Linked DNA regions of Drosophila melanogaster. The protein of the gene in region 2 interacts with the protein of the main gene of each other region in a pairwise test. Each region holds a gene or a part of one and is shown on either strand. Other genes may lie near its edges.

Region 1 (6,977 bases), on a different chromosome or scaffold from region 2:
GCATTTGCCGTGTTTCCAACAATTTTTTGCCGACCCCCCTTCCGTCCTGTTTTAATTGGTGTTTACTTTGGGCGGCTCTTGTGCCACGCCCACTTGCAATAATACCGCTGGATGCAATGGTATGGTATGGTAATCACCACCTGGGCTGAGCTACCACATTGCTGCATTCCTGCATTCCGGCATCCCGCATTCCGGCTGCCTTTGAGCGGCATCTTTTTACTAATGACTCGAAATCCCATCCAATCATGCAAACTGCTTGGGACTTTGTTTGCGGATTCACCCCTCCGGTCGGAGATAGTAATTTATTTCTTAAAAAGTGAAATCCATTAACACAAATTCCTTGGCCCACTATCTTTGTACCCCCTCCCCCAACCAAACAGCCAACCATCCTCCCTCTCCCACCTGCTTCAAACCATATCTTTATGTCTTGGTCAGACCATTCACGTGGCTCTTATGTTCCGGTTTTCCAGCTTTTCCGCTGCTGCCTGGCCAGAGGAAAATTGCAATCACCTTTGTGATTGTGTTCTGCTTTTCAGCTCCATCGCTCGGCATTCAACAGTTTTCGCTTTGTGCACTAAAAGTATTAAATTTCTTCAAATATTCTCGGTACACGTGTTTGTATGTACATACATACATGTATGTATGTACGTACATATGTACATAAGTACCTACATATCTACATACCGAGCAAAAGTCACTTTTGAAACGTATGTATGTGTATGTATGTATGTTTTCTGTGCGTTTGTTGTTTAGATGGTCAAAGATTTGGTTAGAAAGACACATTTTCATGGCATTCGGTTAGTGGTATTACTTATTTAATTATTTACGAAAATCGTTCATAAAATCAATTCAAATGGCAGATAATACCAGATTTCCCAAAAGAAGCTTATTAATACTGAGTGCAGGATTTTCTGTCAGGGTTTTGCACATCAAATAACACAACTGTACATAGCTTCTATCGAACTTGTCAGGTTGAGGAATTTTTTTGATGTGACATAGGCGACAAATCCAAAGTTTATTCAAAAGGCAGTAATTATAAGCATTTGCAGCTGGCGAGGCATTTTGTCGGGTAAGGCGATCCTCCTTAAGAAGTGCTGATTCAGTCAAATCCACTATTTCAACCGACGCTGCAAACATTCTGACCATTAAGACCAGGGCGCGGGAACTTCACCGAGGAAATGCGCTTAGTACGACGCAATCCAGAAGCGCATGCAGAATGCACAGCAGGTTCTCCAGCTGGTCATCTCGGACAGCTGTACTGGCGCTGCGATCCCGCCATGAACAAGCATGTGGAGGGCCTATGACCTATGGCCATGTCGCTTGTCTGCTGCAGGTCTTTGTGGAGAACGAAATCAACCTGAGTCCCGACCAGAGCTGCATGAACTGCTGCGGAGGCTGCCATGACACCCGCTCGAGCGGTTGTTACAAGGCGGAGGAGGAGTTCTGTGGCCAGCAGGCCGCTTGCAAGGGAAGGCTCTACAAATGCAACACCATCGAGTCCGAAAGTTTATAATCTTTGTGGGGACCAAAAACAACAGCTAAGACCGCTGCTACCAAAGGTAATCCCTATATTAATATATAAACCATAACAAAATAAAATCCCTTTTATTTCCAGTGTGGATTTCGATCTAGAAACCATATGTGCTTGAGTTTAGATAACGTAAACAGAATAATTTTAACAGCTAACAGTTGGCGCGCAACTAACAGCTCTGTTAGCCCGGCCGGCGCAACAGCGAAAAATCCCTAGCGCTTCACCAAAAATCCCGCACCGGCGGCTTGATCTCTGTGACATTGAAGTTGCGATTGAAAGCAAGCCTGTTAACCACATGTTATCTGGGTTTTTGCGACGAGGCGTCCAAAGAGCACGGTTCACCTTCACCCAGCAACTCGGCGAAGATCTTTTGAGCGGCGCAGCGGCAACACTCCACACCCAGATACGCATGATGGATGACATTGCGCTGGACGCGGCCAAGAAGACGGCGGCCCGCACGGCGGTGGACCAGTGGGTGACTGAGGATACGAAGATTCTGGGGATTGGCAGCGGATCGACGGTGGTGTACGCCGTGCAGCGGATCGCGGAGCGCGTGTGGAAGGAGGGCGAGCTGACGGACCTCATCTGCGTGCCCTCGTCCTACCAGGCGCGCCATCTGATACTCGACTACAACCTTAACCTGGGCGATCTGGACAGGAATCCCAACATAGACGTGGCCATCGACGGGGCCGACGAGGTCGATCGCCATATGGTGCTGATCAAGGGCGGCGGCGGCTGCTTGCTGCAGGAGAAGGTGGTGGCCTCCTGCGCCAAGCACTTCATCGTGGTGGCCGACTACACAAAGAACTCCATCCGCCTGGGCGAGCAGTGGTGCCGCGGCGTGCCCATCGAGGTGGCGCCCATGGCGTACGTGCCCATCAAGCTGCACATCGAGGCGCTTTTCGGCGGCGAGGCCTCGTTGCGTATGGCCAAGGTGAAGGCGGGACCCATTGTCACGGACAATGGCAACTTCCTCCTGGACTGGAAGTTCATCGCCAACAGGGAGTACGACTGGGACGAGGTCAACCGCGCCATCACCCTCATCCCGGGCGTCCTGGAGACGGGCCTGTTCGTGAACATGGCCCACAAATGCTACTACGGCATGGCCAATGGCTCGGTCAAGGTCCAGAACAAGTAGTTCTTGGGCGGAGTTGGGGGAGCGCTTTTTGCATTTATGTTTCACCAAGTTGTTCCTTAAATTTTAGGTTTGCCATTTGTAATGGATTTAAATACATATTGAGTTCTTAGCCGAGAAAACGATGTGTCCTAACTTGAAAGTTTCAGCAAACGAATCTTATTCAGCTTCTTCATTCAAGTATAACATCGAAATACGTCCAAATCACCACAAAAGGGTATCCATTACACTGAAATCAGACCCACTAAATCTCAATTGGTTACAGTTCCACTACAATAAAGTGGATGTCGAATGTCAGTTCACATGCGCTTTGTATACTTTTGTCTCGATTGCGGCTACAAAAATAAATAAACATTAAACAAGCTAGATCTAGAAGGCCTTCTTGGTCCGCCCAGGGAGCAGGGCCTCTTTCAGATACTGGAACAGCGACAGCAGGCCCTGCTTCTTGTTACGCGAGAAGTAGTTGCTGACCACGTCCGGACTGCGCCGGCTCTGGTCGCTGACGGTGGTGGGCAGGACACTGTCATTCGCACTCAGCGAGACGAACAGGGCGAAGGGCACGATCCACATGCAGATGGTAAAGTAAGCCAGCACCTGAAAGTGTAAATTTCCTTTAGGCGTTTGCTGCGGCCTAATTCAAGTTGTATGTAAACAAACTGATGATGTGGATACACAATGCAATGCATATTGCATATAATGGCTGTATAAAAACGTACATACGTTTGTACGTAGCGAATGCGCTTTCCATGACTAATGATTTATGCAATACATATGCTCACCTGCGTGAAAGGCACATAGACAGTGACGAAATGCTGGAAGGCCAGGAAGTGATTGACCACCAGCATGGCCAGGGAGCCCAGCAGCGGCAGCGAGAGCAGGCGCACGAAGGGGAATCCACTCATGATGCCCAGGTGGAAGCCCTGCGCCACCAGTCCGCAGATGATAAGGCTCCACGGCAGGTCCTCGAACAGCAGCAGCAGGATGTAGACGAAGATCGTGAAGCTGATCAGAAATAGGATGCACTTCCTAGCCGCCGTCGTGTACTCCTCGGCCAGCTCCGCCAGATAATAGAGACCAGCCACTGGAAATACAAATTGCAGACGTTGCAATTGGACAAGTGCGGCTGCACGGCGACAGCTCACCAATCGACAGGGTGAGGAACACGATCTGTATGGCCAGCGAAACCCATCCCAGCAGGTACAGGACGGCCATCTTGCGTACTTCAGGCGGAATCGAAGGATATATACGGCTCAAATCGGCCGACAAAACAAAACAATCCGATTAGAGTGGCGTGTGGTGTGTGGCTCGAAATACCAAACATTTAATCAGCTTGTATAGAAACGGGCACACTAATGCGCAGAGCTGCCAGATATTCTCGTTCCAACGCTTTTTCAAATATTTTTTGTGGGAAACATGAGGAATTTAGGATTGAAATCCATATGCAAACTAACTAATGTGAGCAGCAGCATCCATGGACCATGACTTAAAAATATCTGCAAATGAAGTAAAAATACATTCATAAGTAAAACGAGTTCAATTCTTTATAAAATGTCGGATATCAAAACCGAATATCTTAGAAAGCAACCGTTTCAAATTTCATCTGAAGCAAACAGTCTAGATTCTGCTTTTGATATCCTGCAAATTGTCCAGCCTTTTCGAAAAATCCGTAACTTTTCGTATGTGTTCCATACTCGCACGTGCAAGGATGTTTTGTGCAGGAATAGTGCAGCGTAGACTGAGCATGGGTCTCAATCCAAAGTGAGTAGCGCTTGCACATAACTCCTTCCCTTAAACACCCCATCCGAAATCCCTGAAGACTCGGCCTGGCGCCCAGGAAGCTCTACTCCGAGGAGAAGAAGCCCCCGGGTGTTTTCCTTTGGGGCGGCGGACTTGGCAAGCTGCAGGGCGGTCTCAAGGAGGAGGAGTACTTCATTTCGTTGACCCAAACCCTCGTGGGCAAGATGCGGGACAAGAAGGAGCCCGGCGACTACCTGCCCAACTGGGACGAGTTCCAGAAGACTCTGGACCACGCCTCGCTGGGCAGCACCTCTTCCATGAACAAGCACAAGAACGTACTCGAGGAGGCCTTTTTCCTGAACAAGGTTGCTATAAGTCTCCAGCTCATTTTTCTTCTAATTTCCATTGCAATATCTTTGCTTTCAGACTGCAGACGACATCAAATTATTGCACGATCGTGCCCAAGAAGAGCTCAAATCTCGCCATACTGCCACAGAACTGGAACTCGAATCAGATCCCCAGAACACCAAATAGTTAGTTGTTTATGTTTAAATGCCATACACCGATTTCTTCAGGCGCATCATCATCATAATCACCCAACTTATCCACATGACACGGCTCAATAAAATTGTTAGTTGCAATCTTTGTAGAAAGTTTTTATGGAATTAAGGAAGTAATTAAAAATCCATTGGGTCATCCCAGTTGATTAAAACTAAAGTTCTTTAGCCCCTATTTAGTGAATGTGTTTCTATTTCCGTGCCCACTCAGTATTTTTAGCAGCGCTATTGTCCAATGTTCACCAGTTTGTTTTCGCAAGTCGTCGAAATCGAAATTTCAGCGGCTACTCATCCCTTATATATAGCTTAACTATACTATATAAACCGATAAACCGATAGAGGCAAACATGTTTACACTGCGACGATTCAGTCAGCGCTGGTATCCCAAGCAGATTCAGTAGGTTTCGCGATTTGGAGAGCAGTTGCGTAAGATTCTAGAACCGTTTTCGAATCGCTTTGCAGGCACTTGAAGATGTCGCAGATCGGAGAACTGGGCAGTGGAGCCGGCAACGGCGGCGGCGGCGGCGGATCCATCCGGGAGGCGGGCGGTTCATTTGGCAAAATGGAGGCTGCTCGCGAGGAGGAGTTCTTCTACAAGCAGGTGAGCTCTTTCTACTACACCAGACTGTACACGAGGTAAAGATTCCATGTTTCCCTGCAGCAAAAGGAGCAACTGAAGAACCTGAAGACCAAGACGGAGCCTAAGGCACCAGAGGCTCCCAAGAAGTGAGCCCAACCAGGAGCTTTGAACTCCACTAGCTTAACTATGGTTAGGCTGGATTGTCTGAATTGTATTTAATGGGAATGGTACTCCAAATATATTTTGTTTAATTTACAACTGGTTGTGTATTGGATAACTCCCATCCCTGATCAGCTGATCGCCCCGCGGCTCACCCAAACTGCAAGCCTAAACTTTCCCCAGACCGCTCCACTTCCATTTGTTTACGAACAGCGCTGCAAAGCGGAACAGCCGACAGATAAGCGTCAGTGTAAGCGCAGCTGATAACGGGCGGCGGAGTGGCGACCTAAAGACGCATGGACCGCGCAGGCAGATGGAAACAGTTCGCACCGGTTCGCTCGAGTGTGCAGTAGATGATCCAGCGGCAGGAATGGCGGCCACGATCCAGAACACCCTGAAGGTGGCGCTGCGAAAGCGCATGAAGGATGCACTGAAGGGCATCGACGCGGAGGCCATCGCCCGGCAGTCGCAGGCCGTCACGGCTAAGGTAACATTGGTTTGGCTGGGCCCCAAGGTTATCAAGTTAATTCCCAATCCCCCTAATCGGCTCGATCGCACAGGTGCTGCAAAGCGAGATCTTCCGGCAGGCGCAGCGGGTGAGCATTTACCTGAGCACAGCCTCGGAGCTGGACACCACGGCGCTGCTGTCGGAGATGTTCCGCCTGGAGAAGATGGTCTTTGTGCCCACCTACGAGGGCAGCAGGATGAAGATGGTGCGGCTGCGCGGCATGGAGGAGTACGAGAGCCTGCCTCTGACCAAGTGGAACATAAAGCAGCCGGACTTCAAGGAGGCACGCGAGGATGCCATGACCAACGGTGAGTGGCTAGGCATACATCAGAGCTCCTTCTAAACCCACACACACACACTCGATCACCACAGGGCACGGCATCGATCTCTTCATTGTGCCCGGTGTGGCCTTCACCCGCTGCGGAGCTCGGATGGGCCATGGCATGGGCTACTACGACAAGTTCCTCAAGCAGCACGCGGAGAAGTATCCGCACAAGAAGATCTCGCTGATGGCACTGTCGCTCAACGAGCAGATAGTCAGCAACGAGGAGTTGCCCATGGAGTCGCACGACGTCCGTTTGCACAGTGTAATTACGGAAAACTAACTTTTGGCTTACATACAAAGTGGGAAGTAAAGCGAACTAATACGAAAGCAACACACACTATTAAGTATTGGAATTCAGCTGCCCAGCGGGCATCTTAGGATCTAGTTCTGGTTCGTTTGCCGAGTTTACGGGAAGTGTCAGTGAGAAGCGGGTTGGGCTGCAATG
Region 2 (7,541 bases):
AATACTCTCTGCAAAGCCAACAAGATTTTATTTTTCATAAATTTTTTTGTTTTATAAATCATAACGTATTTTATTTATAATATTTAAAAACGGTTTTAAATTTCCCATTAGGATTTTTTGAAATGTCAGGACAGTGCCTAAAAGTATGCAACCTCATATGCAGTTTGGTATGATTTCCGAGCCGGTTGGTATATTTGAACGATGACGCCTGGTCACACTGCTACAAATGTCTTTCGCATAGTTTAGTTTATTATTACGCGCAAACAACAAATAGCTGACCCTTCAAAAACGAATTAAACAGCGAACATGCAGTTCTCTTGGATGAAGGTGGCCATATACCTTCTTACGTTCCTAACCTACGCCTATTCAGGCTATGGATCCAGCACCATAGTCCACGTAAGGTGCACCGCTTCTCGTAGGAAATCTGTGAGAGCTAGTATCTGTTACTCCTGTATCTTCTCTCCCCGGATTTAGCTAAGGGATGCCATTATAGCCGCGGAGGCGATCTTTGGTGACGTGTTCAAGAACCTGATAGTGCTGGTGCGCAAATTTCGCACGGTCCACGAGGTTTTCGATGCGGCCGTGGACGAGAACTGCATATACCAGTGCCCCGCACCGGATATCGGAGGACCAGGTGTGGTGACGCACTGCGCATTATGTAAATTCCCCAGCATCCATATGTGTGTTTATCTTACAGCGCCCAGAGCGGTTCAGAATAAGTTCTATACCCCCACCGCAGATGGATGTGGTTCCTTGGGCCTGAGGATCAGCACAGACTATCTGCCGGCCAAGGAGATGGAGACATGTTGCAATGACCACGATATCTGCTACGACACCTGCAATAGCGATAAGGAGCTGTGCGACCTGGACTTCAAGAGGTGCTTGTACAAGTACTGCGACAGCTACGAGAAGTCCATAGCCAGCGATCTGATGATGAAGGGCTGCAAGGCGGCTGCCAAGATGCTATTCACCGGCACATTGACCCTGGGATGCCGCTCCTATCTGGACTCCCAGCAGAGATCCTGCTATTGCGCCCCGCCGAAGAGCTCCTCCTACAATGGCAATAGGCAGGGTAATAGCAATAGTAGGGAGAAGCAGCAGCGCCAGAAATATGGCTGGAAGGATCGCAACGAGATATAGTACAGGATCACTGGCTACGAGGGTGCGGGGACCTGGGGGTATCGGATTAAGCGTTAAATGTTTTATGTGTTGTGTTAGTCTATGAATTGGGTAGCCATGTCCATTGGACTCCCTTTTTGACGAATTTCATTATTGTATACCAAATAGTGGCATGCCAACGGTCCAGACTGTTAAATACATTGATATTTTTACCTATTATAAAGATGCTATATTTTTAAATCAACTGTGCGCTGATTAATCACCGGTGGCTTATGCTGACGTGGTCCTTTGGGCAGGATATGTATATTATTTATTAATCATATGATCGACAAGTGTGTAAACATATTTTAACCAGGACGATGACGTATTTAATTTGTTAAGCTGCCTGGCCAAAGCTAATTTAATAGTACAAATAAATGAATGGAGATCAAACAAGAATTCTATTATATCAAAAATTTTGACTTTAAGTCAAACTTAAGTTTAAAACTAAGGTGGAACAGAAAATATCTCAATATTTTCAAGCTAAACAGTTATTTTAAGAAGCCATTTCTCGCGGATTACAGCTGAAGTGCCATCCTAGCTTTCCAACACTACTCAGTCACACTACACAACACTGCACTGACTGAACCGAAAAAAAAACACACAGATTTTGCAATCCGCAGAAAAGAATTATTAATAGTATTTTTATGCGGATGGCCAGCGTGCTGAGGACCTAAGATGGGCTACGATGTGAATCGCTTTCAGGGGGAGGTGGACGAGGAGCTCACCTGTCCCATCTGCTCCGGAGTGCTTGAGGATCCGCTGCAGGTTTGTTTTGTTTGCAAAGAACGCACACCGCGAATCATACATATGCTTTAAATACAAACAATCATACATATCTACCGATTCAGGCCGTGATGTGCGAGCACGCCTTCTGCCGCGGATGCATTAACGAGTGGCTAACCCGCCAGCCCACTTGTCCGGTGGATCGAAATTCCCTGACTACTGCCAACTTGCGGGCAGTGCCTCGCATATTGCGCAACCTACTGTCCAGGTGAGAAAAACCCAACGCCTTCTACTCTGTGAACCTTGTGGACTCTAACTAATCTTTGACCCTTGCCAACCAGACTGTCAATCACCTGTGACAATGCGCCTTATGGCTGCACGGCTGTTCTCAAGCTAGACGCCTACAATTCCCATTTGGACGAATGCATTCACAATCCGAAGCGACCATTTCCCTGCGAGAAGGGATGCGGCTTTGACATACCCAAGGATGAGCTAAAGGACCACAACTGCGTGCGGGAGCTGCGCACTTTAATTGTCAAGCAGACGGAAAAAATGGGTGAGCTCAAATCGGAGCTCACCGACCAGCAGCTGACTATCAACGAACTGAAGCGCGAGCTGCAGCTATTCAAGGACTTTATGCGTGCCATGCGCGTCTCCAATCCTGCGATGCGGGCCATAGCCGACCAGATGGAGCGCGACGAGGTGATCCGCTGGAGCAGCACACTGCCCCGGGCCAGGGTTACGCGCTGGGGGGGAATGATCTCTACGCCCGACGATGCACTGCAGGTGAAGCCCAAATTCTAAATTTTTTTAAAACGTTAACTCACTTTTCATTTGATAGCTCATGATCAAGCGCGCTTTGTCCGAGTCGGGCTGTCCGCCACACATCCTGGATAGTCTTATGGAGTTCTGCCACGAGCGACGTTGGCCCCGTGGGCTCAGTTCGCTAGAGACACGTCAAACCAATCGTAGGATCTACGACAACTATGTGTGTCGACGCATTCCAGGTAACAATTTTAAACATAAATATTAACAACAAGGCTTTATCTTTAAACTTACTCTTCCGCAGGCAAGCAAGCTGTGCTCGTTTTGAGCTGCGACAACCTCCACATGACTGAGGACGTCATGATCGATCCAGGTTTGGTCATGATCTTCGCCCATGGCATCGAGTAGGCCCTCAGCCGCTGATTAACCACTTATCCTAGGTTAAATGCTAACTATATCGAACAGTGCTCAGTTTTGTTGATTCCTTAACGTAAGAGTAAGCATTAAAAACAATATTGTAAGGAAAAACTCGCAAAACAAACCATTCAAGCGCCTCATGACGACTTTCAAGTTGTACAAAAAATATATATTACTTTCGGTTCATTGTGTTTTATCCATTTAGTTAGTACGCAAATTCGTATACATCATCAAGTCGTTCGCATATACCCAATATTACATGTTTGATTAAGCGATCTCAACAAATGTCCCTTTGTTATCGTTCACTTCATTCTCATTTTGATGGAAGGAAGCTGTGAATGTCCTAATTCGCGTTTAAATTCGTATTGCACAACTTACTTAAATTTCTGAAATATTTGTCAATACTTTTAGATTAAATGTGGAAAGAGTAATAAACAGTTTATTTAACTAATGTATTCATGGAAGAATTTATTACTATAATAAACCATTTGCTTTTATAATTGATTTCTTTCAATTACGAATTTAAATTGTAATAGTATGTTACAACAAAATTCCATTTATTCATTTATTTAAGCACTCCCATGAATTATTTTTCTGAAAGATTGTCTAGCCTTTTAGATTAGAAATAGAAATAAAAGTGATTATTCCAACTAAACCGATAATTCTAGCCTCTTATCAGCTGAAAGGGCAGACAAGCGTCTGCCTTTGGAAATCCTACACAAATGTTCACTGGGATGCCCCCCACTTGCAAGCACCAACTCATTCGGGGAGATCTGTCCGCCTCCACTCTGTGGACCCGTAAAAGTTCTGGACAACATCTGTTTCCCGAAATGGAAATCGAAAAGCAACAAAAACCAAGCAGCAAGCAACCAAGCAACAAAATAAACAAAAGAAAACCAAACTAGTTCCTCCACGAGCTTTGGCCGCCAACCGGTTTCGGCTTTTGTACACCCGTTTTGTTTTTTTCCTACATAATACAACATTATACAAAGTTTGCATCGGTTACATGTGCCAAAAATCGTTGGATTATACAAGCCAGTTTTGGTTTTCAATTTTTTTCTTCGTATTTGCCGAACATCTTGAATATTGATAGAAGCAATTAGCGCCATCCAGACCAAAGGGGCAGCCCCCTACGGCGATTGAAAGTGAGAGTTGATCGGCCGATTGGCGGCGGAGCGGACAGGCTGAAATATATACATCCAACAGTTGATCGCGAAGCGGCGCAGCCAACGGACGTGTCCAGCTGCGATCTCCAGAAGGCAACCAATCTAATCGAAGAACACGAAATGAATGTATCAATTCCGGTGCTATTTGTGGCCCTCATCTGTCTGGCAGCTGCGTCGGCGTTTCCTCAACTGAGGCAGCGCAACGAGAAGCAGGTTCAAACCGGCGATGATGATTTGCGTAAGTAAAATTCTTAACGCTCGAAAATCTTACAATTCTTAGATTGTAAAACTTCCTAAATACATTTGGAAAATACTTTTCAAATCTGAAATTCTGTAAATATATATAAATACATATCTATCTATAAATTTTTGTGTATACATATGTACACATTCTGTAGTGCGAACAAAGCGTAAAATATTTAGTAAAATAATAGATTGCTCCGAATTTTTTAATAATAAGCTTGCCGATTATTCAGCTTCTATTAATTAAATTAAAATAAATATAAAATATTTTATAAAGTATATACCATTGCATTTTACAGCTTCCAAGGGCGCCACTATCGAGGAAGTAGTGGTGGAATCAGCCTTGTACATCAAACCGAAGTCTAATCCGCAGGTGCGTCGCGTCCGTTCGGTCCTGGATCAAATATCCGGAATCCAGGCCGCTCACAAGAGGGTGAAGCGTCAGTTTGGGCGACAATTTGGTGGTCAGTATGCTGGAAATCCCGGCTTCGGTGGCGGATTCGGTGGAGAGCCTGGTTTTGGAGGTGGATTCGGCGGTAATCAAGGATTTGGAGGCAACCAGGGATTCGGAGGTAATCAGGGTTTCGGCGGTAATCAGGAATTCGGCGGTAACCCAGGATTCGGAGGAAATCCCGGATTCGGCGGTAATCAAGGTGGAAAAGTTCAGGCAGGTACATCGGCCGGCGCTGGGGGAACCAAAGCGGGTGTTGATGTTGGTGCCGGACCAGATGGCGGCAATGCCAATGCCAACGTCGAGTTAAATCCGCTGGGACCACTCGGACCCAGTGGTTACAACCAGGAGCAGGCCGCATCCAACGGAGCTGCCCACAGCAACTACAACAATGGACTCAACTCAGGATCCTCGGCCGCCAGTGGGCAGGCTCAGGGCTTCCAGTCGCAGAGTGCCAATGGATCATTCGGTGCCTCCTCCGCAAGCACGGCCACTCAGTCCCAGAACACCAGCCCCTTTGGATCCAATAATGCGGCAGGTGCTTCGCTGAGTCAGGTTTACCATCTTCCCAATGGACAGACAATAAACTTTAGCTCCACGAACAGCTTCGCTAATGGAGGAGCCAATCGTGGCAGTAGCCATGGATCGGCAGTTTCTGTCAGCCGCTAAAAGCCAAGTTCACCATACAGGGAAAATACCTCCAAGTTAATCTATTTGTCAGCAATCCTATGTGCAAATATCTAAAAAATCCAAATAAATATTTATGATTGAATTGAATTTGAATGAATAATTTGAATGATTTTTTTAAAATCTAAACGGTTGCATTTTGATGATCCAGATTACAAATTACAACAAACTTGAATTGTTCCATACGAAATTTAAAAGCTTAAGACAATATAAGAATTGGCACTGTTGACTACAAAATATTTAGATTCTTGGTATCAACCAGCGAAAGAAAGTTGAAAGGTTTTTTTTATTTTGTTTTTTTTTTTTTTTGTACTACTTTATATAATTATCCTCAGTGTATCCTTGTACAATTTGGTTTCTACTAAAGTAGTACACGAATTTATTATTGCTACAATTAATGCGCGTAAATTGTAAAATGATTGATTTTCATTTGTGCAAACATGCCCAACTGATGATCCTAAAGAAAACTAATCTGACTCGCTTTCGCTTTCCGACTGGAAGTCACCCACTTCGATGGAAAACTTGTACTCCTGATCACAACCCAAATAGGAATCGCTCATGTAGTACAGAGTGTAGTCGTGTTTGCCCGGACTAGGTGCCACAAAGTCCAGCTTGACCTTTGCCTTTTGCTGCAGCGTGAGCCGTTTGATGGAGAGCAGGGAGTTGGTCTTGGGATCACCTATGACGACCCACCATCCTTCTTCGCGCTTCTGCGGGAAGAATGGAGCAATGACTGGGCCAGTGACCTCATCCTCACGTTCCAGTTGAACCACTACATTAACGGTTGATCCTGAGTTGATGCGATCCTTGTCCACCACCTCATAGTTCAGCTCAATGTTGGGGTAACGGTTGCAGAATCGAGCAACATCGGCCATTTGTAAATCGGAGAGCTGCAGCAGGCGAGTGCGATCCTCGTCCTCCAATTCCATGATATCGAAAACGGTTTCGATTTTCTGAAATATACGACGAAACATGAGATAATCCTAGAGATTCACTTGTTGTTACTCTCACCTTCTCTGTGCACCGCTTGACAATCTCGGGACTAAAGTGCGGCAACTGTTTCAAGTACGAGTCCTTGCTCCACATGGCCTGCGTGACCATCTGAGCCAGCTCCATGGCAGCCACAGCCGGCGACAGCCAGCCATTTGAACTCAGCACATCTACGCAGGCCTGAATGAGGCGGATGGCCTTGCTCAGTATCTGCTCCGTATCGCCTTGCAGTTCAGGTCCCAGTTGCAATCGCGAAAGATGAGCCTGAAGCAGCAAATTGGTCTTGATGTGCGGATCATTGAATCTAAAAATAACATTGGTAAAATTCTTTTTAAGATCTAAATGTATGGGTTGCTTACTTTGGAGCCGTTTCATTGGGTCCTGTGAGTTTGTTGGGCAGTCGCTGAGACAGCGTGCGCAGAACCTGCTCCTCATGATGCCTGACCACAACATCCTCGTACTCAGCTGCCGATGAAATAATTTCCAGCAGGCCCCGCACTTTTGTTTTGCTGTTGAGGGACAAACTGAAGAGCTCTGGGAAAAAATGATAGGAAAATGAAGATGACAATTGCCTAAACTTAAATCTAATGCTTCATACCGATAGTTGTGTAGTTGATGTAATAGTAGGCAGCAATCATGCCCAGATTGAGTGGCAGCGTGTCCATATCATCCTCCACGCTAATACACTTGGACTGTTCTAGATCGCTCAGCGTATTCTCCACCAACTCCGAAAGATGGTCGGAGAGATGGCGATGCGTGACACCCTGCAGATTGTAGTAGTTGGGATTTTGGGTCAATCGTCTGTAGAGGAACGTCCAGGTGAGATAATCAACGGCATCCTGTTTGTTCTCAATTGTCTTGGTGACCACCTCGGCGTTAAAGTGATCATGCATTCTATGATCCAAATGACTTTCGATGGGCAGCGGCTCGTTGATGAA

What was found. Proteins that work in one complex are often made in the same cells at the same time.
Region 1: the proteins of CG17032 (region 2) and CG3500 interact in a two-hybrid assay, tested with the Drosophila melanogaster proteins (one large-scale study listed by BioGRID).

The regions. Positions count from the first base shown.
Region 1 is NT_033778.4:23,353,411-23,360,387, forward strand, and holds CG3500 (uncharacterized protein), read right to left. Parts: upstream 4,156-6,977; 5' UTR 3,879-4,155; coding exon 3,809-3,878; intron 3,748-3,808; coding exon 3,446-3,747; intron 3,261-3,445; coding exon 3,036-3,260; 3' UTR 2,962-3,035; downstream 1-2,961. Other genes in the region: Rpi (Ribose-5-phosphate isomerase), read left to right, coding at 1,944-2,669; CG9875 (uncharacterized protein), read left to right, coding at 4,345-4,424, 4,483-4,768, 4,830-4,937; CG34423 (uncharacterized protein), read left to right, coding at 5,308-5,357, 5,423-5,561, 5,622-5,690; Mthfs (methenyltetrahydrofolate synthetase), read left to right, coding at 6,070-6,186, 6,260-6,515, 6,580-6,812.
Region 2 is NT_037436.4:15,954,914-15,962,454, forward strand, and holds CG17032 (uncharacterized protein), read left to right. Parts: upstream 1-3,929; 5' UTR 3,930-4,352; coding exon 4,353-4,470; intron 4,471-4,774; coding exon 4,775-5,595; 3' UTR 5,596-5,696; downstream 5,697-7,541. Other genes in the region: GXIVsPLA2, read left to right, coding at 307-396, 475-634, 698-1,140; elgi (early girl), read left to right, coding at 1,837-1,926, 2,010-2,152, 2,226-2,670, 2,726-2,891, 2,954-3,057; Brr2 U5 snRNP complex subunit, read right to left, coding at 6,081-6,566, 6,625-6,907, 6,963-7,137, 7,202-7,541.